4 linked regions of the Callithrix jacchus genome follow. The protein of the gene in region 3 purifies or fractionates together with the protein of the main gene of each other region. This does not show direct contact. Links are inferred from orthologs where the notes say so. Each region holds a gene or a part of one and is shown on either strand. Other genes may lie near its edges.

Region 1 (7,356 bases), on a different chromosome or scaffold from region 3:
CTTTCCAGGACGTGGAGACGCGGAGCGTCCCGAGGAGGCCGGGGACTCGGGATGATCGGGAGCGTCCCAGGGAGGGGTCCCTGAATGCTTTCTGGGGGAGGGGTCGCTGCTACGTCCTCAGAGGAGGGGGCTTGGAGCTTTGAGTCCAGCACTCCGTAATGACGGGAGGGGCATCTGAGTGCATGTGGGGGACTGCCGGGACCCTAGAGACACGGGGCAAGGCCCAGAGGATGAGTACTCTCGGGGAGGCGACATCCTTAGTGAAGGGGCAGTGGAGGGTCGTTCTGGGGGAAAGGGTGTCTTGGATTCCCTGTGAGGCAGTGCTTGGAAGCCTGGGGGAGAAGAACAGAGATCAGGGTGTGGCAGGGCTTTGGCCCTCCCTTCCCACCACCACCAGGGGCTCAGTGAGGGATGAAGGGGCCAGGAGTGCCACCTGCATGTTTTGGGAGGGGTCTGTGAGTGCCCCCCGCCCCTCCATGTGCTCTGGGACAGCCTGGCTGCCTGGGCCCCTCACTCTGGGACCCTCCCCTGCCCTGTCCATTCCCTGGCTGCTGCTTTCCCACTGTGTTTGCCCCATGGTGTGGTCCCAGCATCTGCACCCCTGGACCTGTCTTGGGTTAAGGAGCCTTTCCTGGGAAGTGGGGTGAAGGGTTCAGGGCCACTAGAATGAAAGGGGATTGAGGAGAGGGGAAGTCAGTGAGTGGTCAGTCTCTTCCTCTGTTTGTAAAGTCACCGCAGGGGCGCCTGGCTGGTCCCCAGCTTTCTCTCTAGAGATCCCAGGCCTCCACAGCAGGAAGGAACCAGCATTGTTTATGAATTGGCCAGAGCCAGCTCCTGCTCCCTCCCCTCCCTGCCAAGGCCTGGGTGGGGCCACCAGGCCTGGACTCCCACTTTGTAAGGCCACAGCAGCAGCCTCTCTCTGGTCCCCTCAGCTCGGCCTATGACCACGTGCGCAAGACTCGAGTGGCCATCAAGAAGATCAGCCCCTTCGAGCATCAGACCTACTGCCAGCGCACGCTCCGGGAGATCCAGATCCTGCTGCGCTTTCGCCATGAGAATGTCATCGGCATCCGAGACATTCTTCGGGCGTCCACCCTGGAAGCCATGAGGGATGTGTATCCTTCACCTTGGCCTTCATGGCCTCCGAGCTGGGCTGGGGAACCATCACTTGCTTTCTGTTTCCATCTTCCCCACCATCCTCCAAAAAAAACCCAGTAAAATAAACTTTCCTGCAGAGGAGAGGCCACAGTGTAACAGGACTTGGAGGCCTCTGATGAATCCAGGCCTGTGGCAGCCGGGCAGTATGGCCTTGAGCAAGTCGGTTCTCTGCTCTGTGCCCCAGGGGGAGAGCTGGGCAGGATGGTCTCTATGGGAGTGTTGTCTTCTGACATCTGCAGTTCTGAGACATGACCCGGCCACAGCCCACAGTCACTTCTTGATAACAAATGGACGATTCTTTTCTCTCTTTTCTCTTTCCCCAGACTGGAAGGGAGACAGGGAGAAAGAAAGCTGTCAGCCGGGTGCAGTGGCTCACGCCTGTAATTCCAGCACTTTGGGAGGCCAAGGCAGGTGGATTACTTGAGGTCAGGAGTTGGAGACCAGCCTGGCCAACATGGTAACATTGTAAAACCCCATCTCTACTAAAAATACAGAAAAAAAAAATATATATAGCCGGGCCAGCTACTCTGGAGGCAGGGGTAGGAGAATCACTTGAACCCAGGAGGTGGACAGTGAGCCAAGATCATGGCATTACATCCCAGACTGGGTGACAGAGCAAGACTCTGTCTCAAAAAAAACAAAAAAACTACCTTTCTTGAGGGCCTATTGTGGGTCAGGTACTATATATGCCCAGTGCTTTATTTATTTATTTTGCTATTACACCTTCCAGCTATCCTATGAGATGGGTTTTTCAGCTCCATTTTTTTTTTTTTTTTTTTTTTGAGACGGAGTTTCACTCTTGTTACCCAGGTTGGAGTGCAATGGCACGATCTCAGCTCACCGCAACCTCTGCCTCCTGGGTTCAAGCAATTCTCCTGCCTCAGCCTCCCGAGTAGCTGGGACTACGGGTGCGCACCACCATGCCCAGCTAATTTTTGTATTTTTAGTAGAGACGGGGTTTCAACATGTTGACCAGGATGGTCTCAATCTCTTGACCTTGTGATCCACCCGCCTTGGCCTCCCAAAGTGCTGGGATTACAGGCATGAGCCACTGCATCCGGCCTTCAGCTCCATTTCAAAGATGAGGGGTGGAGAGCAATGGCTCACGTCTGTAGTCCCAACACTTTGGGAGGCCAAGACTGGAAGATTGCTGGAGACCAGGAGTTCAAGACCAGCCTGGGCAGCATAGTGAGACCCCATCTCTACAGAAAATTTAAAAATTAACCAGGTTTGGTGGTGCACAATTGTAGTCCCAGCTACTTGGGAGGCTGAGGCAGGAGAATGGCTTGAGCTCAGGAGTTAGAGGCTGCAGTGGGCTGTGATTGTGCTACTGTACTCCAGCCTGGGGGACAGAGAATGACCCTGTCTCAAAAAAAAAAAAAAAAATGAGGAAGCTAAGACCCAGAAAACCTAAAATCAAGTGTTTCTCTTGCTGTCTCCTCCTCCCCTCCCCCAGATGGGAAGTTGTCCTTCCTCTAGGACTTCTCACTCCAAGCAGCACCCTAATCACCTGTGGACTTGCACTTTGCCCAGGGAGGAGACAACCTAGCCTTGGTCTCCTCCCCTGATATTGCTTTCCTGGTTTGCTGTCCACTTCCTGGCTGGCTCTTTTGTTAGCAACTTGTGACACCTGTCACCTCTTCCCTGCCACACCCAATCACTCTCGGTCCCAGCACTCCACCCAAGAGAGGGGATTTGTACTCTGGTGTCTATAGCCCCCACCACAAACTGTGGACAGGAAATCTCCGCGTTCAGCCCCAGCTCGCTGTGTCATCTGAAGCAAGTCACTGCATCTCACTGGGCCTCCCCAGCTCTAAAACAGCAGGGCTGGTCCAGATGTTCTCTGAAGACTTCTTCAAGGCAGACCCCCCCTCCCCCCCCCCCCCCCCCCCCCCCCGCTCTGTTGCCCAGGCTGGAGTGCGGTGGCTAGATCTCCAATCACTGCAACATCCACTTCCCAGGTTCAAGTAATTCTGCCTCAGCCTTCCAAGTAACTGGGACTACAGGTGTGCACCACCACACCCGGCTAATTTTATATTTTTAGTAGAGATTTCACCATGTCGGCAGGCTGGCCTCGAACTCCTGACCTCAGATCACCAACCCACCTTGGCCTCCCAAAGTACTAGATTACAGGTGTGAGCCACAGCGCCTGGCCTCAAGGCAGATTCTAAAAGACAGACCTGACTTATTTTTCCAGACACAAGCCAAACGACATTTGTGGATTTATTTATTTATTTACTCACAGTCTTTGTTTTAGCTTCAAATGGAAAAAGACATTTTACTCCTCCATCTTCTGAGGTATGGCCAAGCACTCTTCTTTGAGTGGGAGTGTGCTGTTGGGAGTGTCTCCTCGTTTTTCTTGCACAAACCATTCCCATAAGGCAGGCATTTATTTTTAAGCAAACATCTATTGCATGCCAGATGGTGTTCATCCATTATCTCATTTAACTCCCGCGGCGTCCCTGTGACTCAGGCCTTGATATTAGTAATAATAGTTCACGTTTCTTTAGCACTCACAACTTGCCAGGCGCTGGGCTGACAGCTTTACATGCGCCACCTCATCTAGTCTTTACAGCCACCCTCGAAAGAACCATTATTTCATGCTTGCACCTGTAATTTCCAGCACTTTGGGAGGCCGAGGCGGAAGGAACTCTTGAACCGAGGAGTTCAAGACCTGCCTGAGCACATAGCAGGAGTCCATCTCCACAAAAAAGAAAAAAGCAAATAAACAAACAAAAAACATTATTTCCCCGACATACTAGGTGAGAAAGTTGAGGCACAGACAAGTTGAGATCTTAAAGCCAGTGAGTAGTAGAGAGAGGATTTCACACATCCATGGGTTAACTCCTTTTTATTTTTTAAAATTAATTTATTTATTTTTGAGACAGAGGCTCACCCTGTCATCCCAGCTGGAGTGCAATGGCAAGATCTTGGCTCATTGCAACCCCAACCTCCCGAGTTCAAGCCATTCTTATGCCTCAGCCTCCTGAGTAGCTGGGATTACAGGCACATGCCACTGTGCCCGGTTAATTTTGGAATTTTTAGTAGAGACGGGGTTGTGCCATGTTGCCCAGGCTGGTCTCAAACTCCTGGCCTCAAGCAATCCTCCTGCCTCAGCCTCCCAAAGTACTGGGATTAGAGGCGTGAGCCACTGCTCAGCCCCAGTTGCTGCTCTTAACTGTGAGGTTCTCCTGCCTCCCACAGTTTATTAGTATCCCCATTTTCCCAGTAGAGAAACTGAGGCCACAGAAATGAAGCCTTTTGCTCAGGCTCAGCAGCTTCAATGCAACAGAGGCTGAGTCCTGCTGCTGGGTGACAACGGCAGCTTGCCCAGCTGGCGGTGCAGGTTGGAAGTTCTATTGAGCCCCAAGGGCCCTGGCTGGAGGTGTGCAGGCTTGCCTTCAGAGCCTGTTTTCCTTAACCAAGTGCCTCCCGCTGCCCCTTGCCCGGGGGGCCTCCGGAACCATCCTTAGCTACATTGTGCAGGACCTAATGGAAACTGACCTGTACAAGTTGCTTAAAAGCCAGCAGCTGAGCAATGACCACATCTGCTACTTCCTCTACCAGATCCTGCGGGGCCTCAAGTACATCCACTCCGCCAATGTCCTCCACCGGGATCTAAAGCCCTCCAACCTGCTCATCAACACCACCTGCGACCTTAAGGTCAGAGGGTTGGGCACCTGTCTCCTCCTCCCCCAGGGTCTGGAGCTTCCAGGTGACCAGTGGAAGCCATTGGCAGGAGAACATTGCAAGCCAGGGGAACAGCAGAAGCAAAGACAAGGGGGAGTGACTGCTTGGGCTGCGGAGGCCTTGAGTGCCAAGCTTAGCAGCTGGGTCTGATTCCAGATCTGTGATTTCGGCCTGGCCCGGATTGCTGATCCTGAGCACGACCACACTGGCTTCCTGACAGAGTATGTGGCTACACGCTGGTACCGGGCCCCAGAGATCATGCTGAACTCCAAGGTAGGAGGGGCTGCCCACTCCTGAAGGGAAGGGGCCAGGTCCCAGGAAGCCCTGGAGCTACCTCTGAGCCAGGCACTGACCCCCATTCCACCCTCTGGGCTTGGGCTCTGCAAGGAAGCTGAGAGTGGAGCCCTCCAGGCCTCTGCCTTCTGCCTGGTGTTGGATCTAGCTTGGGGTGGTGGCCTGGCACAGGCAGCAGGACCCTGTTGAGGCTGTCCCGGGAGCCCATCACTTCCTCCTTTCTCCCAGGGCTATACCAAGTCCATCGACATCTGGTCTGTGGGCTGCATTCTGGCTGAGATGCTCTCCAACCGGCCCATCTTCCCTGGCAAGCACTACCTGGATCAGCTCAACCACATTCTGGGTGAGGGAGTCCCGGCTGACTGAGTGGGGGATAATTAGCTTTTCCTAGGTGAGATTTCTTGAGAGTCCGAGTCAGGGATATCATCATCATGTACGGGGTGCCTCCAGCATCTCCTAGACCTCAACGAGGTATAGATATTATCCCCACTGGAAAGATGGGAAAAGCAAGGCTAAGTCCTACACCTAAGGAGGCACCACACCTAGGATTTGAGCCTCAGTCTGCCTGAATCCAGCCCCTTGCTCTGCTGGGAGAGCAGACTAGGAGGTGACTAAGAGTTTGGCATGGGTTGCTAGGCTGGGGGGTCTTGTTCTTGCCCTCTTGCCTGTTCTGTTCCCAGAAAGGAGGAGGTGATCATTTACCAAGTCACCTCCTTATCCACAGGCATCCTGGGCTCCCCATCCCAGGAGGACCTGAATTGTATCATCAACATGAAGGCCCGAAACTACCTACAGTCTCTGCCCTCCAAGACCAAGGTGGCCTGGGCCAAGCTTTTCCCCAAGTCGGACTCCAAAGGTATGAGAGACGTGGGGACGGGTGTGGCATAAACCCTGGGAGCTGTGGAGGGTGCGTGAGTCCAGCAGCCACCGGAGGAGACGGGCCCTGGGCATGGGGAAGCAAAGCGATGCTCCTGGGAGCTCCTCCAGCCTTCCCTGTGACCCCTGACTCCTGCCCTTCCATAGCCCTTGACCTGCTGGACCGGATGTTAACCTTTAACCCCAACAAACGGATCACAGTGGAGGAAGCGCTGGCCCACCCCTACCTGGAGCAGTACTATGACCCAACGGATGAGGTGGGCCAGTGCCTAGCAGCAGCGGGGCTGGGGGCAGGGGATCAAGTCGGCATTCCCCACACCGGGCCTGAGCCTTACCGTCTCTGCCACCCCAGCCAGTGGCCGAGGAGCCCTTCACCTTCGACATGGAGCTGGATGACCTACCCAAGGAGCGGCTGAAGGAGCTCATCTTCCAAGAGACAGCACGCTTCCAGCCTGGGGCGCTGGAGGCCCCCTAACCTAGACAGATATCCTGTGCCCTGGGGCCTGGTGAGTGTCCCCATGGCCCGCACACAGACACACTGATACTAAATATAGATCTCTATCTCTATATCCACACCTACAGCTATCTCTGTCTCTATCTACCTCTCTCTCTATCTCTATCTAAGCTGCAAGCTTGCCCCGCACCCATGGTCCATGTGGCTGGTGACATCAGAGGTGCCCAGGGAGCTGGGCATGGTGGCTCATGCCTGGAATCCCAGCACTTTGGGAGACAGACTTAGACCAGTAGGTCACCAGAGGTCAGAAGTTCAAGACCAGCGTGGCCAACATGGTGAAACTACTAAAAATACAAAAATTACACACCAAAAACATATAAAAACTACTCAAAATACAAAAATAAGCCGGGCATGGTGGCGCACACCTATAAGACCCAGCCACTCAGGAGGCTGTGGTGGGAGGATTTCTTGAACCTGGAAGGTGGAGGTTGCACCACTGCACTCCAGCCTGGGCAACAGTGAGACTCTGCCTCAATAAAAGAAAAAAATGCCCAAGGACTACCCAGACTCGTGGCCCACCCAGTCCTCCAACCCCAAATGTCTCCACCTGTCAACACCCTGCATCCTCCAGCCCCAGGAGCCATTCTAATCTTCTGGGAACAGAACTAGCAAAGAGGCAAGAGGTTACAGAGGGCCCCTGTCACCCAGGTAAGGACCTGAGCCAGGCCTCAGCTCTGGGTGTGGCAGAAGCAGGTGGAGCCATGATCGCTTTGGGAGGGGCCCAGCATCACCCAGCCTGACCCAGATGGCGAGGCCTCCTCACACCTGCTGCCAGGTTAGCAGTTCACATAGCTGTGGGACCCCACTGGGCCTGCCCCCACCCA
Region 2 (7,330 bases), on a different chromosome or scaffold from region 3:
TTAGGTTGCACTCAGCTGCAGAGACAGAACTCAATATCCGGTGGCTTCGGTGTGAGGTCTATTTCTTCATCATGTTTAACAGCTCAGGGCAGCAGTCGGGCCTGGAAGGGTGGCTTTGCCCTTGGCATGGCTTGTCATCTTGTCTGCATCTAGCCAGAGGGACATGAGGGCAGTCCAGGAAAGCACACATCACTTCCTCTCCTCTCCTATTTGCTACAACTCAGCATCACATTAAGGTACTACCAGAGGCTCAAAAATACGGTCTTTAGCTGATAGCACTAGGCCCACCTAAAAGGTAGGTGAATGGACTTCAGGCCAACCAACAGCCTCAGCACTCCTGGTTCCTGGGAAAGTTGAGGGGCCACCTGGTGTCTCTGCTGGTTGTTAGGTGATGTATTAAAAGCTCTGCCAGGAGGAAGCTGGAGTTGAAGCCAAGCATGAGAGCCAGGAGTGTCGTGCCACATGGAGGGCATGCTGGTCCCAGCACTAGAATGCAGGGAGTAGCCTTGGGCCATGTAATTGCTCTTTAGGACTTCCTCCCTGCCCAACCAGGGCAGTTCTGGGAAGAGAATTGGTTTGCTGGCCCAAAGCTCCTGGAGGGTGACTAGGAAACGGGTGCCTGAGTGGGCTGTTGCCTGGGGAACTCTTACCTTCTCTAGAGGCCAAAAGGTAAAATGTAGGGGGAGAGCTGACCTGGGAACTGGTTTTGGATAAGAGGAGAATTGGGAACATCTTAGGGACAAAATGGGAAGGGGCAGGGGACCTACGTACGATGACTTTTGCCTGTTTGCTCCAGCAACATGTCAGGGCGTGCTGTCAGTTGTACAGTGGGACAAACAAGGGCTCTAGAGCCTGGCGACCAGCTGTCCACACAGGTGACTCTGAGCCCCTCAATCTCTTTCCTCATTTGTAAAGTGGGGTGATGTCTGTCCCACCCATATGACAAGGCTGTCATGAAGCTTAAGAAGTACATGAAATGGCCCTGAAAGCTACAGAGCAGCCTAGGACAAGGTATGTTCATGTCAGGACTAAGGGTATTTTATTAGAAAGAGGCCTCCCTGGAGGACTGACGGAGCAAGCGCAGATCCGATGACTCAGCAGGGACCAGGAGTTCTGAGCAATCCCTAAAAACATGGGATTTTGGCAGGCAGCACCAGACAGACTTTGCTAAGTGACCATGTGCTAGGTGCTACGTCTAAACAATCCATTCCTAAAAACCGTCTACTCAAATTCTCTAGGCCAAAAGGGCTTTTTGACCTTTAGACTCAAAAGTCTTTTGGTATCCCAAAAGAAAGACATAAAAGTAAACTCTTCTACATTCTACTTTAAAAGATAGTGAACATACTATGGTCTGTTCTGGAAGCTTTTTATTGTGGCTCCAAGTTAAAGAATTTTCACTGATGGCAGAAAACCACTTTCAGATAACCTCCCGCATAGCCTTGCTCAGCTTCTGAATCTTGGTCTTGGCAGACATGTCCACGTATTTCTCTCCAATACGCACAATCATTCCACCCATGATTGATGGATCAGTCTACAAAAGAAAACAGATTGGAAATGGGACACATGAAAAAGTGCTTTGAAAGGCATAAACGTGTCACAGGAATGTAAGATGTTACAATCACACCTAGAAAAAGGCAAAAGTAAAACTGCACGGAGTCAGATAATCATTTAAATTTAAAATAAATACAAAATTTTAACTACAAAAAAATTAGTACAGAACCAGATCTAATATGTCATTAATACTTTCTGTAGCCATTTTAAATTTAAAATGACCTGAGAAAACATACCATAAATAATTTAAAACCCACCTTAACCTCCAATTTCAGTATCTGGCCTTGACTTAGGAAGCTCTTCAGGACTGTTTTTAATTCAGAGAGTGTGGCTTCTTCTAAAGGCTGAAAGACAAAAACCATCCTTTCAATTTAGATAAAGCAAAATAGAAACTTCCATGGTTAAAACACGCCAGGCCCAGATCACCAAGACAGGCCTGTGAGCTCCTCCACTAGCTACTTGGGACCATCGTGGAGCGGCATGGCAGCACTCACTCCCTGTTGGTGCCGGTGGTTCAGGGAGCATGGGAAGGCCCTGCCTCACAGCATCATCTGGGCAGCTCCCACTGGGCGGGTCATGGACGGCCTCTAAATGCCACTCCCTGTCTCTGCTCCGTGTGCTAGCAAAACAACGTGGAACAGAGGAGGAAAAGCTCAAAGTTGATAATGCTTGAAGATGGAGCTCTATCAATGCAGGAGGATAAGGCCTCTCGTGGGTGCAGCCCCAGGGTCACAACATGTCCCTATCATGTCCTTGGGTGAAAAGTTGCCATTTTAACCTGGTTTTACATCTTTATGTTTCTCGAGCTCCACTGGCTGTCATCTCCCCGCATCCACGGTTACCTGCAGCTCTGGGAGGCCACTCCACTCTCTGAACCCCAGGGAGAGAACCTGGAGCAGCTGGCTTTTCCTGAAGTCAGCTCAGCTCCGTAATCAACTTTAGAGCGAGCACCCTAAATGTCCCGACTGCACTCTCCTCTCAGCCCCAACTGTTACTCCTGGTTAGTTAGGTGTTACAATGGTGAAAATGAAAAAAGTGGTTGAAGCAAAGGTGCCCCCTCACCCCCCTGCCCCCTGCTTTTTTTCTGAGACTGAGTCTTGCTCTGTCACCCAGGCTAGAATACAGTGGTGAGATCTAGGCTCACCACAACCTCTGGCTCCCGGGTTCAAGTGATCCTCCTGCCTCAGCCACCCAAGTAGCTGGGATTACAGGCGCATGCCACCACACCTGGCCAATTTTTATATTTTTAGTAGAAACAGGGTTTTACAACATGTTGGCCAGACTGGTCTTGAACTCCTGGCCTCAAGTGATCCACCCAGTTGAGTCTCCCAAAATGCTGGGATTACAAGCCTGAGCCACCGTGCCCTGCTGCAAAGACCTTTTTTTAACTTGTCATAAATCCTACCTCCCTAGCCTCTCCTCCCAAGAGCCTAAAGAAATTTAGCGAAAAAAATTTGTATCTTTGTAAAGATCTCACACTATCCTTTTTTTGGCAGGGGGTGGTGATGGCCAAGGTCTATTCACGTTCAAAACATTATTTGCTGAGATTGCAAGGTTACGGAATTCTGAAACATACACACCCTCCACTGAGACATGCACCAACTGCCAGGTGCCTGACTATGCCAGGCATTTCACACCTACTATCTCCCTTAATGTGGGCAACCCTGGGAGCCAGCGGTTCTGATTCCCATTTTATATATGAGGGAACCGAGGATCAGAGAGGTTAAGAAACTCACCTGAGGTCACATCAGCAAGTGAGGACTAACCTCAATATTTGAAATTGGTCTGTGTATTTCTAAAGCCTGTGCTCCTAGTCACTCATCAAGGTGTAATTTTATCCATACAGTACAGACTTACACACCCTGTGGTATCAAAATCAAAAGCATTAGTAATAGTTGGTTCTAAGATCTTTTGCAAAAATAAGCATCCTTTAAAAGAAAACCACGTCCTTCTGGCTGGGTGCGGTGGCTCATGCCTGTGGTCCCAGCACTTTGGGAGACCGAGGCAGGTGGATGGCTTGAGGTCAGGAGTTTGAGACCAGCCTGGCCAATGTGGTGAAACCTCGTCTCTACTGAAAATACAAAATTAGCTGGGCATGGAGGAGGGTGCCTAAAATCCCAGCTACCTGGGAGGCTGAGGCAGAAGAATTGCTTGAACCTGGGAGGTGGAGGTTGCAGTGAGCCAAGATTGTGCCACAGCACTCCAGCCTGGGTGGAGAGTGAGACTCAGTCTCAAAAAAGAAAAGGAAAGAAAATCATGTCCTTGTATGTACTGAAGAATGTCCTGCGCCAGCGCTTCACGATGGGTGAACGGGGGGCAGGTGAATGCCTAACCTGTGCCACACTGTTAGGGATCCCCAGTGCGGCCACAGAGGGAGCCCTGCCTATGTCTGAGCTATAATGATTGTAGCCAGGTACATGTTTTGGGGGCACCAACTACTGACCTACAAGTGTGCAAATAAGTATGATGTACTAGGATGCTTCTCCTTGAAACTGTGCTAACTGGAAAGGTTAGCATTTGGCCAGGCGCGGTGGCTCACGCCTATAAATCCCAGTTGAAAGGTTAGTGTCCTTTCAACGCTAGAACTTTTTTTTTTTTTTGAGACAGAGTCTTGCTCTGTTGCCAGGCTGATTGCAGTGGCATGATCTCGGCTCACTGCAACCTCTGCCTCCTGGGTTCAAGCAATTCTCTTGCCTCAGCCTCCTGAGTAGCTGGGATTACAGGTGCGAGCCACCATACCTGGCCAATTTTTGTATTTTAGTAGAGATGGGGTTTCACCTATTGGCCGGGATGGTCTCAATCTCTTGACCTTGTGATCCACCTGCCTCAGCTTCCGAAATGCTGGGATTTATAGGCGTGAGCCACCGCACCTGGCCAAATGCTAGAATTATTAATCTAGATGAGGTCAGATGTGATGAATCCCAAGTAAACCTACCACATTCTCCTGTTTTCCTGTAGAATGGGCTATGTTACATTTGACTGAGCTACACAGGGAAGAAAACACATATTTAAGACAACAACAAAAGTAATTCGAGGGAGCAATGCAGTGTAGTGTAAGGAATATGGACTTCTAAGAGGCCTGTGTTCAAATTCTGGTCCCACCTCGTAATGACCTTGGGTAAGTGACTTCATTTTCCTGCGTTCGGTTTCCTCATTTGTAAAATCAGGATAATTACACTTCTATCTCACATGAATCTTTTGATAGTGTATAAAATAATGAAGAACTCGGCAGAGAGTAGCGTTCAATAAATGGTAGCCCATTATACCCCACTCTATCAAGTCAAAAAGATACAAAGGCCCATCTGCTCTACTCCTTCCCATTTGCCACCACAAAAGAGGAAAGATTAGTAACTCTAGTTTCAGGCTGGGTTACACCTCTACTTCCAGCACTTTAGGTGGCCAAGACAGGTGGATCACTTGAGCCCAGAAGTTTGAGACAAGCCTGACGAACACGGTAAAACCCCACCTCTACAAAAATAGAAAACAATTAGCTGGGTGTGGTGGGGGTGTACCTGTAATCCCAGCTACTCAGGAGACTGAGGCAGGAGGATTACCTGAGCCCAGGAGGTTGAGGCTGCAGTGAGGTGTGACAAAGTGAGACTCTGTCTCAAAAAAATAAACTCAGGCTGGGTGCAGTGGCTCACGCCTATAATCCCAGCACTTTGGAAGGCGAAGGCAGGCAGATCGCCTGAGGTCAGGAGTTTGAAACCAGCCAGGCCAACATGATGAAACCGTCTCTACTGAAAATATAAAAATTGGCTGGGTGTGTTGGCTCACACCTGTAATCCCAGCACTTTGGGAGGCCGAGATCACGAGGTCAGGAGATTGAGACCATCCTGGCCAACATGGTGAAACCCCATCTCTACTAAAATACAAAAATTAGCTGGGTGTGGTGGCGCGTGCCTATAATCTCAGCTATTTGGGAGGCTAAGGCAGAAGAATTGCTTGTACCCAGGAGGCGGAAGGCGCAGTGAGCCGAGATCACAGCACTGCACTCCAGACTGTGACAGAGCAAGACAGAAAAGAAAGAAAGAAAGAAAAAAAAAAAGAAAGAAAGAAAAAGAAGAAAGAAAGAAAGAAAGAGAGAAAATTAGCTGGGTATGGTGGCACGCATCTGTAATTCCAGTTTTTCAGGAGACTGAGGCAGGAGACTTGATTTAACCTGGGAGGCAGAGGCTGCAGTGAGCTGAGATCACGCCATTGCACTCCAGCCTGGGTGACAGAGTGAGACTCTGTCTCAAAAAAAAAAAAATTAGCCGGGTTTGGAGGTGGGCACCTGCAATCCCAGCTACTCGGTAGGCTGAGGCAGGAGAACTACCTGAACCCAGGAGGCAGAGGTTTCAGTGAGCCAAGATTGTGCCATTGCACTTTCAGTAAACTACTTCAAGTGGTAGTTCTAAACCACCCTTTTCTCACACATTTTGATGTTCTTTCCATTTCACCCAGGCCTTATGAATAATCACCGGTTACAGAAGCACTAATAAGATGTATGCTGATGTTTCCAAAGCAAAGGGTCACAGAAGCTGATATAAAAATGAAGGAAACATCCCAGCTGACAAGTTACTTTTTCCAATTTCTTGATTTTACCTTGTTTTTTCCCTTTTCTGCAAAAGGCGACATATGTAACATCAAGGCCAAGACAGCAGCAACAACCCGTTACTTACAGATGCGGTGGTCACTGTGCAGGGAACCTCTCCGCGGTGGACACTCATCATGGTAGAAAAGGCAGAAACAACTCCTTGGGTATTGCTTAAGCGACCATTTTCAGCAAGCAAATCTGGTGAAGTGAAGGTGTTTCAGTAACATGAAACTCACTTGAACAAGTTATTCATGAAGCTGTATACTTAACCCAAAACACAAACTTAGATTTCTGGCTTTAAAACACCATATTGAGTGGCGCATGCCTATAATCCCAACTACTGGAGGCTGAGGTGTGAGGATTGCTTGAGGCCATGAGTTCAAGACCAGCCAACATAGTGAGACCCTGTCTCTATAAAAAACATTAGGGCTTGGTGGTACGTATCTATAGCCCCAGCTACTCAGGAAGCTGAGGCAGGAAGATTGCTTGAGCCCAGCAGTTGAAGGCTGCAGTGGGCTATAATTGTGCCACTGCACCACAGCCTGGGTGACAGAGTAAGATCTTGTCTCTTAAAAGTCACAGTATATTCAATGTCCTTTAAGAATGTGAATAGAGGCTGAGTGTAGTGGCTCATGCCTGTAATCCCAGCACTTTGGGAGCCTGAGGTGGGCAGATTTCTTGAGTCCAGGAGTTTTAGACCAGCCTGGGTAACACGGTGAAACCCTGTCTCTACAAAAAGACCCACAAATATTAGGTGGGCGTGGTGGTGCATGCCTATAGTCCCAGCTACTCAGGAGGCTGAGGCAGAAGGAGCACTTAAGCCCAGCAGGCAGAGGTTGCAGTGAGGCGAGACTGTCCCACTGCACTCTAGCCTGGGTGACAAGAGAGGGACATCCAGTCTAAAGTTAAAAAAAAAAAAAGAATGAATGGAGAAGATACAACTTGTTATTTAAAATGCATATCCAATTTTATTTTTTTAATAGACCATACTGACAAGGATTCAAATTAGTAAGTATGGGGAGTTCTCACCCATACGAATCTGCAACAGACTTCTTATACTCAGCTTGCAATCTGATTTTCATTTTAGGTTATAGCTTATAATGTTGGCTACGAATTCAAAGATGATAACATGAATATACTTTCTTTGGAACTTTTGAGCTGGCTATGAGGATCTGAGAAGCGACCCCAGCCGCGGAGCGG
Region 3 (8,404 bases):
CGGGGACCCAGAAAGGAGACAGGCTTCTGTTCCATGTGCTGCAGCACAGTGGGAAAAGCTTTGCTCAGTCTAAGAGTTTGGAAACTTCTAAGTTTTACCAGACACTGGTGGCCACGATGCTCATTCTACATCTCACCAGATGTGGAAAAGATGGAGATGTTAAATAACTCTTATTTTCCATAATTCCCTAAGATAAGGAAGAGCCTTTTGGTGATAACACTGCTTAAAAGCAAAAAGAATTTATAATATTTTTTTTTTCCCTTGAGATGACCTGAGTTTTTACCTTCTAGAGGTGACAGGTGACAGATCTGTGGCTTCAGATGGAATCTTGACCAGCGGGTCTGGAGAGCCTGTGATTCTAAGCCTGAGCCTGCATGTCACCTGGCCCCTCACATGGGCCAGCCAGTTTTCCCATCTCTACGTGTAGATCCATTTAACAATTAATTAGGTGCCTGAAGCATTTATATGTCTATAAATAATTTCTCCCTCCCTACTGCCTTCTCTTTTTGGGAATCTGTCAATTTACTGGAGATGATAACATCTTGTCCTGCAAATACGGGTCTTTGTGTTAGAGATAAGTTTCTTTAAAACCTCTATGAAGGAAACGGTTGAGAGTGCAAGAGAAAATTTGAAATGAAGCCAGAAGGATGTGTATTTGTGCTGGGAGGAGGATGAAGGAAGATCAAAAACATTATCGTTTTCATTGTTTTACAGTTATTTCAGGTATGTTTTACTATTTAGTCTTAGCAGCAATGTTTATAATATCAAGCTGTATTGAATAAAATATGCAGATTTCACTTAATTTTTCATACTTGAGTGACAATACAGAATTCAAGTTATCTGAGCTTTATTATCTTCATCACAGTACATCTTACTATACCCTTACTATGGCATAACATCTTTATTTACTGGTTCATATAAGTCCAAGATATGCAGTCTCATACATAAGTGGTCATTTCCAACGTTCATTCATTCAACAACTATGGTTTGCTAGGCACAAAGAATGTAAGGTGAACAGGACATATGTCCTGTCAGATTCATTAACATCATGCAGCTTCCTGAGGTCTATAGGCCCTTACAAGATTGGCTCTTCCCACTGTCTCACCTTTCCTTACTACTTTTCCCTATTGTCTGTCTTTAACAGCTACACTTCAGGTTCCTTGAGGACACCAAGCTATGGTTACCCCAGGGTCTTTGCATCTGTGGTCTCCTCTTTTTAGAATGCTATTCCCCAGGTCTCTTCATTCAGGTCTTTGTTCAAATATCACTTTCTCAAAGACAATTCTATTTTAAGGCAAGTCTCATCCTCCACTCTTCCTCCCAGTCATTCCTCATCCTACTTCATTTTTCTCCAAAGCACTCACTGCTCAGCACCTGAACAATTTTATCTTTGCTTACGTTTTATTTTCCATCTCCCCTGGTAGAGCCTGGGCTGGAAGTTTGTCTTTTTAGCAACGTATCCCTAGGGGCTAGAACAACCTGGCATGTAACGGATGTTTATAAGTATTTGGAGAATAAATGACTAGATGAACTGGTTCTTGATAGTTTAGGGTGCTTGATGAACCAGCTTTTCAGGAGGAATCATGATGGTCCCTGGTAGATTCACAGCCCTTACTCCTAAGCTTCCCACTCCTCCTCCTGATGGGCTCTGTCTGTAAGTGGCATTCTTGTCCATTTGGTCTCAAGCCTTGCCATCACTTATTCCTCCCTCCTGCTAGTGCCATCCAATCAGTTACCAATTTTAGTGACACTGTGGCCTCTCACATCAATTCCTTTTTTGAGCCATTCTTACAACCACCCCCAGTCCATACTCTCTGTATCTCACCTAAACCATTGTCATCATTTCCTACCCGGGCTTCCAGCCAACAGGCTCTCCTCATCCAATCTGTTCTCCATGGGGTAGCCAGAGTGCGTTTCAACATGTTAAGGTTTGATCATGTTTCTCCCTCACTCAAACACTAAAGACTGCCAACCCCTTAGCATGGCAGTCAGTGCCCCCTCCATCACCTTCATCCCCTTACTCAACCTTCTTTCTCAAGACTCTTCTTTTGTTCTTTTTCCTCCAGTGGGAATAAACTGCTTTGCAGTTTCTGTATATATTCTAGAAGTCTCCCTTACCTGTCCATCCTCTGCTTATGCTGTTTCTACTCTTTGAAATAGTTTTCTTCCTTTCTTCTAAGTACAAATCATTCAGACCCAGTTTGAATGCTACTTAGCTTCCCCAAGAAGCCATTCCTGACCTGTGAGGAGAAGAAAATTCCTCTTTCTTCTCAACTGTTTTTAAGAGGTTATCTGCCTCTTTTTTAGGGCAAGCCTTGGGAAAGGACGGGCAATATGACAGAAGAAAGAGTCCAGAATCTGGAGTCAGATCACCTGAGCCAGAGGCCTAGCTCTCTGGATCTGAGACTTTCACGGTATGCACCCTTAGATAAGTGAAAATCCAAGTCTTAATTTCCCTAACTGTAAAATAGGGATAACACTATTGATGTCATGGATGTGTTACAAGGAGTGACAAAATATAGGAAAAGCTTTTGACACTATATGCAAATTAATTATGAAATTCTATCATGCTAACACATAAAACGTTGAATAAACAGTTGCTCCTCCCAGGGAGTTTTCATGGATGTTTTATGCTGGCTGAGCCCTAAGTCCAGGAATAGGTCAGTGGGGAAAGGATTTTTTTTGAGGGGGGAGGACTTTGAGGCCTTAAGAATCCCATGTGCTTGGATGATGTGAAGAAAGGAAAAAGTATAGGGTACACCCACAAAGCTGGGTCCTAGTGGAATTACTAGCTACCAATTCCTGAGCATTTTCTACATGCCAGGCACTGTACTAAGTACCCTACATACATTATCCTTGAGTCAGAAATTATTCCTTCACAGAGCAAAAGAAGCCCATAGCAGTTATATAAATAAGTGGTACCCCCGCCCCACTGCCAAATAGTTCATAACATCATCAATTCAATGATGTTATTTTTTGGATGGAGAAATTGAGACCCCAGTGGGTTATATATGGACACTGTACAGCCAGTAAGGAAGACACTGGGCTGGAATCCAGATCTCTTCTCTCTCGAGGTAGAAACCTCTACTTGGCAAAACCCCAGGGCCACCATTCATTATGAAGTCTGTATAAACAGCGCTTCTTGGAGCACAATGCCATCTATATGGACTCCATTGTCAGTAGCAGCCCCTGAAGTTCTGCTAATTGGCCCACCCTGGCTCTGCTCACCCCTTTTGCTCACACAAAAAGGAAGTTCTGGATGGATTGGAGACTATGATTCTAAGTGAAGTAACTCAGGAATGGAAAACCAAACATCATATGTTCTCACTCATTAGTGGAAGTAAGCTATCAGGATGCAAAGGCATCAGAACAACACAATGAACTTTGGGGACTGGGGAAAAGGAGGAAGGGGGTGAGGGATAAAAGACTGCAAATTGGGTTCACTGTATAGTGCTTGGGTGATGGGTGCACCAAATTCTCACTAATCACCACTAAAGAACTTCTCATGTAACGAAATACCACCTGTTCCCCAAAAGCCCAATGGAAATAAAATAATTTTAAAAAGGAAGTTCTTGAGACCAGAACATCAGGTCCCTAGAGACTGAACACTGCCCTCCTTGCCAACTATTCCATCCAGGTCTCTTCCAAGGTGACTGACTGCATCCCTTCACCATCCCTCTAGCTTGTACTCCTTCAACACACCTCTCGGGGCACTCTCTCTGCACCAGGCATCAGGCTCAGCTCTGGGGACAGCTGGCTGCCCTTGAGGGAGTCTTATGCTGAGAAACCACCCAAACCTGGGGTGACTGTAACTCAAGCTTCCCCAGAAGCTTTGTCAGCAGCACCAAGAGGCTGCCCTTAACAAGCCCCAAGGAGAAAGAGGTGGAGACCTTCGCAAAGAGATGATGAAAGGGGCCTGGTTGAAGTAGAAGACCTGGGCCCTTGAAGGGGAGGGAAGGGTGACTGGGAGGGCATGCAGTCAGGACATAGTAGAGAAGAGGACAAATCCTGGGATGCCACATCACCTAGCCCAACTGAGGATACTCAGGCTCAGTGTGTCCTGGCTGGGTCAGGACTAACACCTGGGAATGTGATCTCAGGTCCAGGGCTTCTTCATTCTCCCAAAAGGAATCCCAAATCTGGAGTGTTTGAATAAGAGACATGAGAGCTCTCCTTTGAGATTGAATGAAGCAAATTCAAGCCCCCTCCCCTCTCCCCCCCCTTTTTTTTGTGGCACAGTAGGGATGGTAGCAAATGAATGGCACCTGCCTCTCCAAGTGGGGCAGGGCTGGAATTAGACTTTCGTGGTACACTCTGGTGAATTTTGGGGTTCTGGGGCTTCAGTGGGGGTAGGATCTAGTTGTGTAGGAGGGGCCACGAGTATGAAACCCAGGGACCCTAGATTCTAATGCAAGCATTACCACTAACTCTCAGGTGACCTTGGTCAAGCCACCTTACTGGGCCTCAGTTTCCCTATCTGTAAAATGAGGGGTTTGAATAAGTTCCCAAGATTCGTCTCGCTCTGACCTTCTAAGCCCTGTGATCCTTGATAAGGCAAGCCCTCCCAAGGCTCTGACCCGGGCAATCTCCGGTTTTGCCGGAGCCTGCGCCTCATCCAGAAACAAGCGGCATGCTGGGGGAAGGGAGCGCGCTAAGCTTTTATTCTGGGGGAGGGTGGGACGCGGGAGGCTAAAGCTAAAGGGTCGGTGGAGGCAAAGCGATGGGAAGGCTGGGAGCCGCGGTTTACAGACCAACAGGCTAGCGGCGATGTCCAACCTCCCTCAGGGGCTTCGGACTCTGGCTAGGCGATGCAGCCCAGAGCCGCGCACCAGCCTCCGCCGGCCGCAAAGGCTCAGACGCCAAACCACTATCCCAATTCCTCCCCGGAACCGTGCACCGGCTTCGTGGGGAGTGGCTGCCGCTCCATCCCGGTTACCAAGCGCCGAGCCCCCTCCTCTGTTTGGGGGACCCCTCCCCCAATCTGGGGGCGCCCGGAGCCCCACGGGGGCGTGGCGGGGGCGGACGCCGGCTCCTCCGCCCTAAGGGCTGGAGAAGGTGTCAGCTGCGGGGCCGCCTCAGGAGGGACCCGCGCCCTCCACCTTCCGGCTCCGCACACAAAGGCGCCGACCGAGGCGCCACACTTACCGGCCAGAGCGGGCTCCGGGCGCAGATGAGCGGGCGGGCAGGCTGGAGGGAGGATGTGCGCGCGCGAGTGTGCGTGTGTCTGCGTGTGTCCCTGCCTGTGTCTGTGCCAGAGTGTGTGCGACGGGGGCCGCGCCGAGCTCAGTGCGTCTGCGTGTGCGGGGGCGTCCGTCCTTCGGTCCGTCCGCCCGGCGCTCCGTCCCGCGCTCCGTGCGCGCTCCCTTGCCCGACCGCCTCACCAAATGCGCTTCAGCTGCGGAGTCGCCGGCGCAGCCGCCGGGTGCTTTTGGCACCCCCCAGCCCCGGCTCGGCTCCGCCCCGCCCCCAGGCGGGCTTGCGCCGCTCCCCGGGAATTGCGCAGGGCTGGTGGGGCTGGTGGGGCTGGTGGGGCTGGTGGGGCTGGTGGGGCTGGTGGGGCGGGGAACCGGGAGATCCCGCTGGTCCCGGGGCCCGAAGGGGGCCGGATCCCACACCCTTAACCCCTGACCCCATCTCAGGTGCCTCCCTCTTCCGAGCAACTCTGCGCGGAGTCCCGGCAGGCGTCTCCCCAACACCAAGGTTGCTTGGACAGGGAGGGCGGAGGAGTGGGAGTATCGCATCCATTTCATTCATGATTTTTCTCCTCTGGGGAGCCCCGGGTGGGGCCGCGCGGCTACGGCTACAGCCAGAGAGACCCCAGCAGGGCCGTACGTGCTGAACCTGGGACGGGACAGGGAGGCTGGCAGAGGGAGTAGGGGCCAGCGAGACAAAGGGAGCAGAGGTGGCGGGGGGGGGGGTCGGCTCACTGGGGGCATGCTGTGGCTCACCCCGCGTGATACCAACACCTGCAGCGGAGCGGCCGCATACTAGGGCGCACAAAATGCCGGGTGCCCAGGACCGGTTCTAGGACTCTTGAGGAGACGTCCCTCTTCCTAATTCTCCCTGTTCAGCCTCTGGGGAGCAAGAGTGAGTGGACAGCCCCTCCCTCCACGGATTCTTGCCCTCCTGATGTGCGGCGCCGGGCACGCACCTGTCTTGGTTTTCTCGTGGGCACCAGGGACCCGGACGCGCAGGTAGCTGCCCATGAGCCCCACAATCCTACACAATCCCCCCACAATCCTGTATTCTCCACGCTGCTACCGCGCTGGCCCGAGGTTCCCGACTTTTCCATCCCCATGGGGGCGGGCTTGAGGCTGCGGGTTGGACACAGGGCAGGTATCCTAAACTCCATTTTTACACGGGGAATCAGAGGCGAGCCGCCACAAAGCTACCGCCCTGGTTCCAGCCACCATCCTCCCCCTCCTCTGGGAATTTCATAATTGCCTCTTTACTGGTCTCCCAGCTTCCACCCTTGGCCCCTTGCAGCTGATTCTATGCATAGCAGTCAGAGCGATCCTTTAAGTCAGAGCACGTCCTTCCTTTACTGGAAATCCTACACTAGCACTCCATTTCATCCAAAGGAAAGCTAAAGGCCTATCATGACCTGCAAGGCCCTTCAGGAGCTGGCTCGCTTTTAACTCTTTAACCTCTCTTTCTACCACCCTCTCCCTTCTCCCACGCTCCACTAACACTGGTCTTTTAAATGCATAACCGACCTGGCAGCCCTGTGGCCTCAGGACCTTTGCACTGCTAGTCTGTGACTGGAAACTCTTCCCCCTGATAGTCACATGGTTACTCCTTTACCTCTTCAATGTGTCATTATTTCTCTTTCTCCTCCTCCTCCTCCTCCTCCTTCTTCTTCTTCCTCTTCTTCTCCTCCTCCTCCTCCTTCTTCTTCCTTCTCCTCCTCCTCTTCTTTTCTCAGATGGAGTCTTGCTCTGTTGCCCAGGCTGGAGTGCAGTGGTGCCACCTTGGCTCACTGCAACCTCTGCCTCCCGGGTTCAAGTGATTTTCCTGTTCAGCCTCCCGAGTAGCTGGGATTACAGGTGCCCACCACCATGCCCAGCTAATTTTTGTATTTTCAGTAGAGACGGGGTTTCACCATGTTGGCCAGGCTGGTCTCAAACTCCTGACCTGGTGATCTGCCCACCTCAGCCTCTCAAAAGTGCTGGGATTACGGCATGAGCCACCGTGCCCAGCCTTAACATGTCACTTCTAAGAGACATGCTGAGACTATTCTGTTTAAAGTTGCTGGCCCTCCCTCCTTTTCTCCATGGAAGCTATGACTTTTATTTCTGTTCCCTGCTCCTGAGGCTCACTGGCCTCATTGCCAGCTCCCACCTCAGTCCCCTCCCATTCCAGTTCTTCAGCCTCACCTCACACTCTTTTCTTTCAACAAACCCTGAGTTTTCCCATCTCTAGGCCTTTGTTCACATTGTCGGTTCAGTCTGAAATGCCATCCTTCCATGTCTTGACTAATTTTTAGGTCCAGCTTAAATATCACCTGCTTCTCCTGATATTCTCAGGGACACTCAGCCCTCATTACTTTCTGTCTACTGTGATAGTGGTTCCTTGTCTTTTTCCCCAGGTGCACTTTGAACTCCTGGAAAGTCAGGTGGGGTGTCTTCCTTCTCCCCAGTTCCCAGCACAGAAGGGCTCATCGGTACATGTTTGTTGATCAAGGGCACTGATTGGGCTGGGCCTTGATTGGTCTTTTTTTTTTTTCTCTCCTGGGAAAAGGCCTAGAGACCTAGACCCAACTAGGTCCCTGTGTTGCTCTCAAGGAGTTTCCTGTGGAATGGGGAGGATTATATGTTGGGTAAAAAGGCTGTACTGCTTGGGTTGTATGAAAGGGTGCATAGGTACGTCAGCCTGTGTGCCAGGACCTGCTCCCCACCCCAGAGGATCATCACCATGTTCAGCATGAGTCTGATTTCTCCAGGCTGCATCAATGTAACAATAGCAGACGGGCACTTTAGTATGTGCCAGGTACTGTTTTGTGTTTTCTCAAGGCACGGCTCTATTGAATCTTTATGGCATCTGTGGGAGGTGGGCCTTTTGACGTTCCCTATTTCAGAAGAGGAAGCAGAAGCATAAGTCAGTTTCTTACGATCACTTAAGAGGTGAGTGTTTCAAATCCAGATCTAGCCAGTTCCATAGCCCATGGTCACAGAAGCAGGGATGCCTTAACATCAAAGCCCTTTGGGCTGATGGAAGGAAGGGGAGGAAGTAAGGCTTAGAGAGCTTCAGCAGCATCAGCCTGGGGCAGACTCTTGATGTCCCCAGCTCAGGGGTCATAGAGTCATGGAACCCTAGTGGGCTGGGACCTCACAGCTTCCTGTCAGTGTTGCCTCTGATGTCCTGTGGTGGAGGTTAATGGCTACCCTTGCCCATTGTAAAGGCA
Region 4 (7,646 bases), on a different chromosome or scaffold from region 3:
CAGGAAACAATGTTCTTCCAGTCAACAGCTCGGCCATTATGCATCCCACTGACCAAATATCAACTGGCAATATTAAAGAGAAATAAAAGTACATGTGATGTCACTGTTATTATACTTGGCAACAAATAAAACCATAACTAGGAGTGAAATACTCAAATTACTATTTAAAACCTCTGAGCCTCAACAATCATTCTCATTTTTACAGAAATAAATGAGCTTGATCTTTACCCCACTAAAGGGCTGTTCAAAGGTGGGGTAAGTCAAAACATACTTAAGAGAAATAAAAAAAAAAAAAAAAAGGAGAAATAAGCTGTTCAAAAAAGGAGCAAAAGAATGGTAGATTCTTCCAAGTAATATTGAGGGGTTAAAATTATGGACTCTTTGTCTTCAGGTATAAATACTCAGAGAATAAATTCAAAATCTAAATAAATAAAAACCCAGTTGCTAAATCACGAGCTTTAAAAGCTGTATATAAAACCCCAATTCCCCATCTGAGCAAGTGAAATGTTTTCACCTGTAGGCTTTAAAAGGATCACTGAGGAAAGAAAAGATATTTCTCTCCCCTCCCATAATCTCTACTTCTGAGAATCCCAAATGCATCCAACATAGAATTAAATAAGGCCCTAAATAACCAGTGCAAGTAATACCTGTCTGGTTGTAATGCATCCAGTTCAGCATGATCTCAGGAGCCCTATACCACCTAGTGGCCACGTAGCCTGTCATTTCATCATCTGTGTGCCGAGCCAGTCCAAAATCCAGGATCTAAAGGGCAGAAGAGGAACAGACAAACTGTTAAGACTTATAAACAGGCAGGGGAAAACAACAACAACAACAACTCTGTTGCCTTTTTAAAAAGGAAAACAAGATAGCACTTTTATAAAGAGATTTCCTGGTCCATGCTTAGAGTGCATGGTAAACTTACAGTGAAAACTCAAAAAACTGAATTACAAAAAGCAAAACAAAAATGTCACTCCTTGGTATTTAATCAAGCGCAATGAGAACTTATGGCCATACAAAGGTTTGCACATGAATATTCACAGTTGCTTTACATAGCCTCATAGTCAAACTAAAGCAAATGTCCATCAGCAGGTGGACAGATTTAAAAATCCTGACATGTTCATAAAACAAAATACTATTAGCAATAAAAAGGAAAAAAACATTGACACAACAATACAGAATCATTACACTAAGCAAAGGCTAGATACACAAAAATACACACTATATGATTCCATGTACATGAAACTCCAGAAAAGATAAAACGAATCATAGTGTTAGAAGCAGATCCATAGTTGCTTTGAGCGAGAATTAGGGGTGGAAGGGTGGGGATTGACTAGGAAGGAGCACAACAGACTTTTTAAAGTAACAGAAATGTTCTTGGCCAGGAGCGGTGACTTATGCCTGCAATCCCAGCACTTTGGGAGGCCAAGGAGGGTGGATCACAAGGTCAGGAGATGGAGACCATCCTGGCCAACATGGTGAAACCCTGTCTCTACTAAAAATACAAAATTAGCTAGGCGTGGTGGCATGCCCCTGTAGTCCCAGCTACTCGGGAAGCTGAGGCAGGAGAATCACTTGAACTCGGTAGGTGGAGGTTGCCGTGAGCTGAGATCAAACCACTGCACTTCCAGACTGGGTGACAGAGCAAGACTCCAACTCGAAAGAAAAAAAAAGTTCTTTATCATAAATGTGACAGTTGAGTGGATATATAATTTTGCCAAACTGTACACAAAACGTTGCATTTTAATGAAAATTTTTTTTATTAAAAAAATGAAATGGAACAAAGCAAGTTCTAGAAATACTTGCTCTTTAGAAACAATTCACTTATCTTTTATTTGAATTATTTTGAGTGGATAGGTTTCTGCCATTTTTCCTCTTAGAAATCTATTTAATCTAGTTATCACCTCTTCAGCATTGCTTACTTGGTATTTGACTATTATCTTCCTTTATTATGATTAATATATTAAATTTCTAATTTATGTTAAAATGAAAACAAGTGATGCTACTTCTAAAGTAACTTAGCTTACTGAGAAATGTTTTAAATTTCAAACTCTGATAATAAAAACAATATGAATTTCAGATAGTCATGGCTCATAAATCTCCCTACGAAAGTTTGCCTCCTTAGTAGGAGGCATATAATCTCAAAGTAAAGCAAACAATGACTACTGTCTCTTCATTTTACCTTCAGCTCACAGTCTTCATTCACAGCTAGATTACTAGGTTTTAGGTCCTAGGAAACAAGTACAGAGACAGGATCAACTTTATAATGCATGATCAATTCTCTTCCTACAGGAAATAATGAGGAACTAGACATAAAAGACTTCATCCAGCTATCAAAAGACAATCTCCATCCTACAGTCAAAATTTAGTCCACGTTAGCCTTACATAGAAAAAAACCTATCATCTTCTTTCTTTAATCAGTCTAAACCTAGAGAAAAGTTGCAATCAATCAACATTTCAATGGTTAAAGTAAGTTTAGATTAGGACCTTGGCTAAATGCCATTCTTCCACCCTCACCCCACTTCCCCAAAATAATGTAATCAAAGACACAATACATACCCTGTGAATTATGTCAGCTGAATGTATATACTGCAAAAGAGAAAAAGCTCAAAGTTATTCCAACCTTCTATTGTCGTATTATATATTTGCTGCATATTTTCATGAATCAATAAGAACTACTAGTGTTAACAGTGAGATTAGAAATTAGCATAAGTAACTATCAGTATTGAGTACATTTACCATAACTATAATTTCCACAGCTATTGACTCTACTCAGTTGAGCTTTTAATCTATTTTCTGGTTGGTACTCTGGAGCTCAACAGAACTCAAAATGGCTAAATATCAAAGATAGTTTAATTTTAAAATACTGTTTACCTGCCCCTCCAATAAATAAATAAATTAGTCTTCCTCGATGATTTAAAACAAATCTCAACATTACACTGACCAGATATAAGATTACATCAATAAATTACTGTTTAGATATAACAATGAAGAGACCTTATCTTTTAGATATGCATACTAAAGTATCTATGGGTGGTATAATATGTCTAGACTTGCTTTAAAATAATCCAGGGCTTGGAAAATACAAAAGAAACATAATTGGCAATATGTCAATAATAACTGTTGTCAATGAGCGAATATGGCAGTTTATCATATATGACTTTTACTTGTGATTCTGTGTGTTTGAATTTTCCATAAGAAAAGTTGTTTACTTGTTTATTTGTTTAAGCCCTAAAAGGAGGGGGAAAAGGGAGAATTCATTTTTAAAAATTATTATTTATATTATCTGTACCTTTAGACCTCGGAGAATTTGGTAGATAAGGAACTGAACGTGGTCATCTGTAAGCTTCTGACATTTCACAATGTTGTTCAGATCTGCCCCCATGAGATGGGTCACCAGATACCTAGAAATTAGTGAAAAGTTACATAACAATCTAGAACCCCTAAGAAAGCTCTTATCTTCACAAGACTTTTGTAATTTTTGTTGTTGTTGTTGTTGAGATGGACTCTCACTCTGTCAACAGGCTGGAGTGCAGTTGTGTGACCTTGTCTCACTGCAACCTCCACCTCCTGGGTTCAAGAGATTCTCCTGCCTCAGCCTCCCAAGTAGCTGGAACTACAGGTGTGCACCCACCATGCTCAGCTAATTTTTGTATTTTTAGTAGAGATAAAGTTTCACCATCTTGGCTAGGCTGGTCTTGAACTCCTCACTTCATGATCCACCCCGCCTCGGCCTCCCAACGTGCCTGGCCTGACTTTTCTAAGTTTTTAAGAGAAGGCCACCCTTCCTTTAAAATGGTAGCTGTACCACAATGACAGTTAAAAGTTAACAACCATTCATTTTTTCTGGGGGGGGGGGTGTGCTGAGGAGGGGGCACCTCATTACCTCAGTTTCAACATCACTATTCTTTTTTTTTTAGAGACAGGGTGATGCTCTATCATGAGCACAATCATAGTAGCTCATTGCAAGCTCAAATTCCTGGGCTCAAGTGATCCTTCTACCTTAGCCTCCTGAGTAGCTAGAACTAAAGGTGTGCACCACTAGCCCAGCTAATTTGAAAAACAATTTTTTTTTTAAAGATTGGGGTCTAACTATGTTGCCCAGGCTGGGCTTTAACTCTTGGTCTCAAGCAATCCTCCCAATTCAGCCTCCCACCATTACTATTCTAACTTAACTACCTGCCATCTATTCTAAACATTTCATACTCATTCCTACTTGACATCTTTTTCCAGGTTACCTCAAGAAAAAAGAAAACAGGACGAGCTTTGTGGCTCACATCTATAATCTTAGCACTTTGGGAGGCGTATAGGAGTTTGAGATCAGCCTGGGCAACATAGGGAAATCCCACCTCTACAAAAAATAAAAAAGAAAACAACAAAAGCAAAGATAGGAATTAGAAAGATACATGTGTCAATATCAGTTTCCTCAAAAATGTTATTCTTGCATGACAAATACACAGTATAACTTAGTGCACGGCTAGAATAAAGTATCTTGTAGTTTTAAATCCACCACTACATTTTTACCTCATTGTAAGCCTTCCATGTTATAGGTTCTAAAATAGGAGTATTTTTTGATTTTCAAACTCTAATTCTTTTTCAGGAATGACTGGTAAAAGGATTTTGTTCATGGACAATATTCCTGCACTTACCATAAAAGAAGGAGGAACATGTTTTATCTGGAGGCAAGATGAGGCATTCCAGAACTTCTCCTCACAGGTGTGGTGCTGGTTATTAATCCCATCTTTATGTAGTAAGATTAGGGAATGATTACATTCAAGTCCAACAGGTTCACCACACATATTCTAGACACAATGCCTTAACCCACTCATTACTGTATTACACAGCTATGGAAACATAAAAAGTAGATCGGTACTAAAAAGGCTGAATTTTTTTTTTTTTGCTTTTATTTTATTTTTATGTTTTGGCAGACAGAGTCTTGCTCTGTTGCCCAGGCTGGAGTGCAGTGGTGCAATCTCAGCTAACTGCAACCTAGGCCACCCAGGATTAAGTAATTCTCATGCCTCAGCCTCCCAAGTAGCTAGAATTACAGGTACGCACCACCACATCCGGCTCTGGCTAACGTTTGTATTTTTAGTACAGGGTTCACCATGTTGGCCAGGCTGGTCTCAAACTCCTGATCTCAGGCCTCCCTCAAACTCCTGCCACGGCCTCCCAAAGTGCTGGGATTACCGGCTGCACCTGGCTAAGAGGCTGAATTTTTTAAAATAAGGGTGAGTTTTATTTACCATCTAAGAATCATTTTTATTCCTGAGGTTGGGTAATAATATATATCAGCTGAACTATGAAGAATGCTGATTTCATTTCATTTCTTTTTTCATTTTTTATGAATTTTGGAGGAAAGCAGGTCAGTAATTTAGATCTATTATTAATGTATTATAAGAATAAACATGTGTGAACTACACATATAACTAATACAATATATTTATTCCTTTCTGTCCTCCAAGAGGAATGGAATTTTTTTCTCTGTCATAATTTCCCTGTAGGGCAGCCATGGTCAGTTCTCAATTTCATGAAGATCAACAGGACTTAACCTAGTGGTAACCTTAAGGTAAGATTTTAGCATTTCATATTTTTAAAACTTGCATGTTTCTACTGCCTTGAGGAAAGAGTAGACTCTAAATATAATTTAATAAGTAAATGAGACTGAAATGTTCTGATTCAGGAGATGTTCCAGCCTCAACATAACATAACCAAAGGCACTAACTAGCACTTATTCTGTGCCCAGCACTGCAGTAAGCAGTTTATTATGTCCATGTCTCACGTACTCTTCCCAATAACTCTGTGAGATAATGTCCATTAGCATTCCCATTTCATTGACAAGGAAACAGAGACAGAACAAGGATAAACCATCTACTCATTGTCAAAAAGAGTAGGAATGTCAGGAGTTGAATCTAAAACTGTCTGACCCCACAGACCATGATCTTAATCACAACACATATTCTTCCAACAATTCTTTCAGCTAATACAAAATTTACATCAAGGGAATGGACTTTTTAAAAATTTGTATAAATGTCACAATAACTAGGGAAGCAATATATCTGAGTAATTTCCTTAATAATTCTCAATTCTGTATTTACTGTCAAAGTTAATCTTAACTAATAAAGAAGGCTGGCAAGAACATAGCAATATTCTGTCCTAATCATAGTCACCGTATTTTTTTAACCCCAAATAGATGCATAAACTGAGGAAGAAAGAATCCAATTTCAGTCTTACAAGACTGCTTTGCACATAATTATATTTTTGACATTGCATAATAACTGGGTTATTCTTTCAACTTTCCTAAATAATTTTACAGAGAAGAGACAAACATAACTTACCTTTAAATAAAACCTAAAAGTCCTAACTAATATGCCTGAGCTAGTTCACAAAGGTGTTAGGCAAAATTACTAATGAAACCATAGCAACTTCAAGTACAACTATTTAAATGGTTACCAGTGACTCAAGAAATCTTATGCAGCCAGAGGACCACTGACTGCATGGCCCAAGGGAGAGAGCATGCTTTTAGTTAGAACATTTTACCACTATGTAATTTCTCTCAAATCCTTCTCCCCTCAGAGACCATATCCATTTTATCACTAAAATGTACAGAGGGTGAGACTGCCAAACATTATGCAAGTTTATAAGATTAATCAGTCTATACAGTAATAGCTATCAAGCATTACTACTAACCTACAATGAAATAAACTTAAAGGCATTATTTATGGCAGAAGCATCTTGCAGGATGCTATACCTAATCCTTATACATTGTTTCTGGGAGACCCAAAAACCAATCCATGACCACCAATTGTTAAATTCTGACTCCCACATTGAAAGATTTTCAAAATAAGTCTTGCAACAGGGAACAAAAGCAAGCATCATGTAAAAATGCTGATGGTTTATGGAAGATGCACCAACTTCTAAAAATAATAAACAGGATGGAGGACAAGGAATGTAGATGAACACATTTTAAGTAAGTCCATTCCAAAAGAGGCATTAATGGAGAGTCACATAGTTCCTACAGTATTTGTTTCTGGAAAGCATATTCAATTACGTTTTAGTAAAGACATGCCTAATATTATCAACGTATATAATACCTAAAGTAAATTAAGTAAGGTTAGACTTGAGTATGGTTGGAAAGCTATGTAGTTCTCACATCTTTACAAAAGAATTAAGCAAACTGGACTTTATTAGGCTAAAAGTTGAAAAGAGTTTAATGGACTGATACAAATCTTATTTTTCACTTTTCTGGTGAAGTTGGTCTCCTTTAAATTTAATCAAAGTATAGAGAGCACAAATCACATTTCTCAAAGTGACTCCTGTCAGTATAATGTACTGTGACAGCAAGAAGGAAGAACTCTCATAAATGCTTTTCAGTACGCTAGACAGCACCCCATTCTACAGCTTCATTTCTACTTCTTGGGTAATACCTAACTGTTAAGACTGGCACTGCCATCCCTGCCCCTTTCCCCAGACCCTTGGCTTTTTAAAGCATAGAAAAAAATCAGAAAGAACCTATGTAGAAAAAAAAGTCTTCTATATCTATAGACTGGCATCTCTTACTACTATTAATCCTATTTAAAGCAGTTACCAAAAAGCCAAAAAAAAAAAAAGCATTTCTTACATATTTAAACAGGGTACTTAAAAGAATC

The links.
Region 1: the proteins of PTPN5 (region 3) and MAPK3 purify together in Homo sapiens (affinity purification with mass spectrometry; 4 studies listed by BioGRID and IntAct, with this or other methods). This does not show direct contact. The link is inferred for Callithrix jacchus from reciprocal best matches to the Homo sapiens genes PTPN5 and MAPK3.
Region 2: the proteins of PTPN5 (region 3) and ATP5PO purify together in Homo sapiens (affinity purification with mass spectrometry; 3 studies listed by BioGRID and IntAct, with this or other methods). This does not show direct contact. The link is inferred for Callithrix jacchus from reciprocal best matches to the Homo sapiens genes PTPN5 and ATP5PO.
Region 4: the proteins of PTPN5 (region 3) and MAPK14 purify together in Homo sapiens (affinity purification with mass spectrometry; 3 studies listed by BioGRID and IntAct, with this or other methods). This does not show direct contact. The link is inferred for Callithrix jacchus from reciprocal best matches to the Homo sapiens genes PTPN5 and MAPK14.

The regions. Positions count from the first base shown.
Region 1 is NC_133513.1:29,407,189-29,414,544, forward strand, and holds part of MAPK3 (mitogen-activated protein kinase 3), read left to right. Parts: intron 1-932; coding exon 933-1,115; intron 1,116-4,631; coding exon 4,632-4,821; intron 4,822-5,004; coding exon 5,005-5,121; intron 5,122-5,370; coding exon 5,371-5,485; intron 5,486-5,866; coding exon 5,867-5,998; intron 5,999-6,165; coding exon 6,166-6,275; intron 6,276-6,370; coding exon 6,371-6,493; 3' UTR 6,494-6,524; intron 6,525-7,356.
Region 2 is NC_133522.1:39,976,763-39,984,092, forward strand, and holds part of ATP5PO (ATP synthase peripheral stalk subunit OSCP, mitochondrial), read right to left. Parts: intron 6,329-7,330; coding exon 6,216-6,328; intron 1,896-6,215; coding exon 1,809-1,895; intron 1,532-1,808; coding exon 1,418-1,531; 3' UTR 1-1,417. UniProt on the Homo sapiens protein: Subunit OSCP, of the mitochondrial membrane ATP synthase complex (F(1)F(0) ATP synthase or Complex V) that produces ATP from ADP in the presence of a proton gradient across the membrane which is generated by electron transport complexes of the respiratory chain.
Region 3 is NC_133511.1:84,756,327-84,764,730, forward strand, and holds the start of PTPN5 (tyrosine-protein phosphatase non-receptor type 5), read right to left. Parts: upstream 5,389-8,404; 5' UTR 5,146-5,388; intron 1-5,145. UniProt on the Homo sapiens protein: May regulate the activity of several effector molecules involved in synaptic plasticity and neuronal cell survival, including MAPKs, Src family kinases and NMDA receptors.
Region 4 is NC_133505.1:44,383,515-44,391,160, reverse strand, and holds part of MAPK14 (mitogen-activated protein kinase 14), read right to left. Parts: intron 3,402-7,646; coding exon 3,290-3,401; intron 2,587-3,289; coding exon 2,557-2,586; intron 2,228-2,556; coding exon 2,180-2,227; intron 763-2,179; coding exon 648-762; intron 64-647; coding exon 1-63. UniProt on the Homo sapiens protein: Serine/threonine kinase which acts as an essential component of the MAP kinase signal transduction pathway.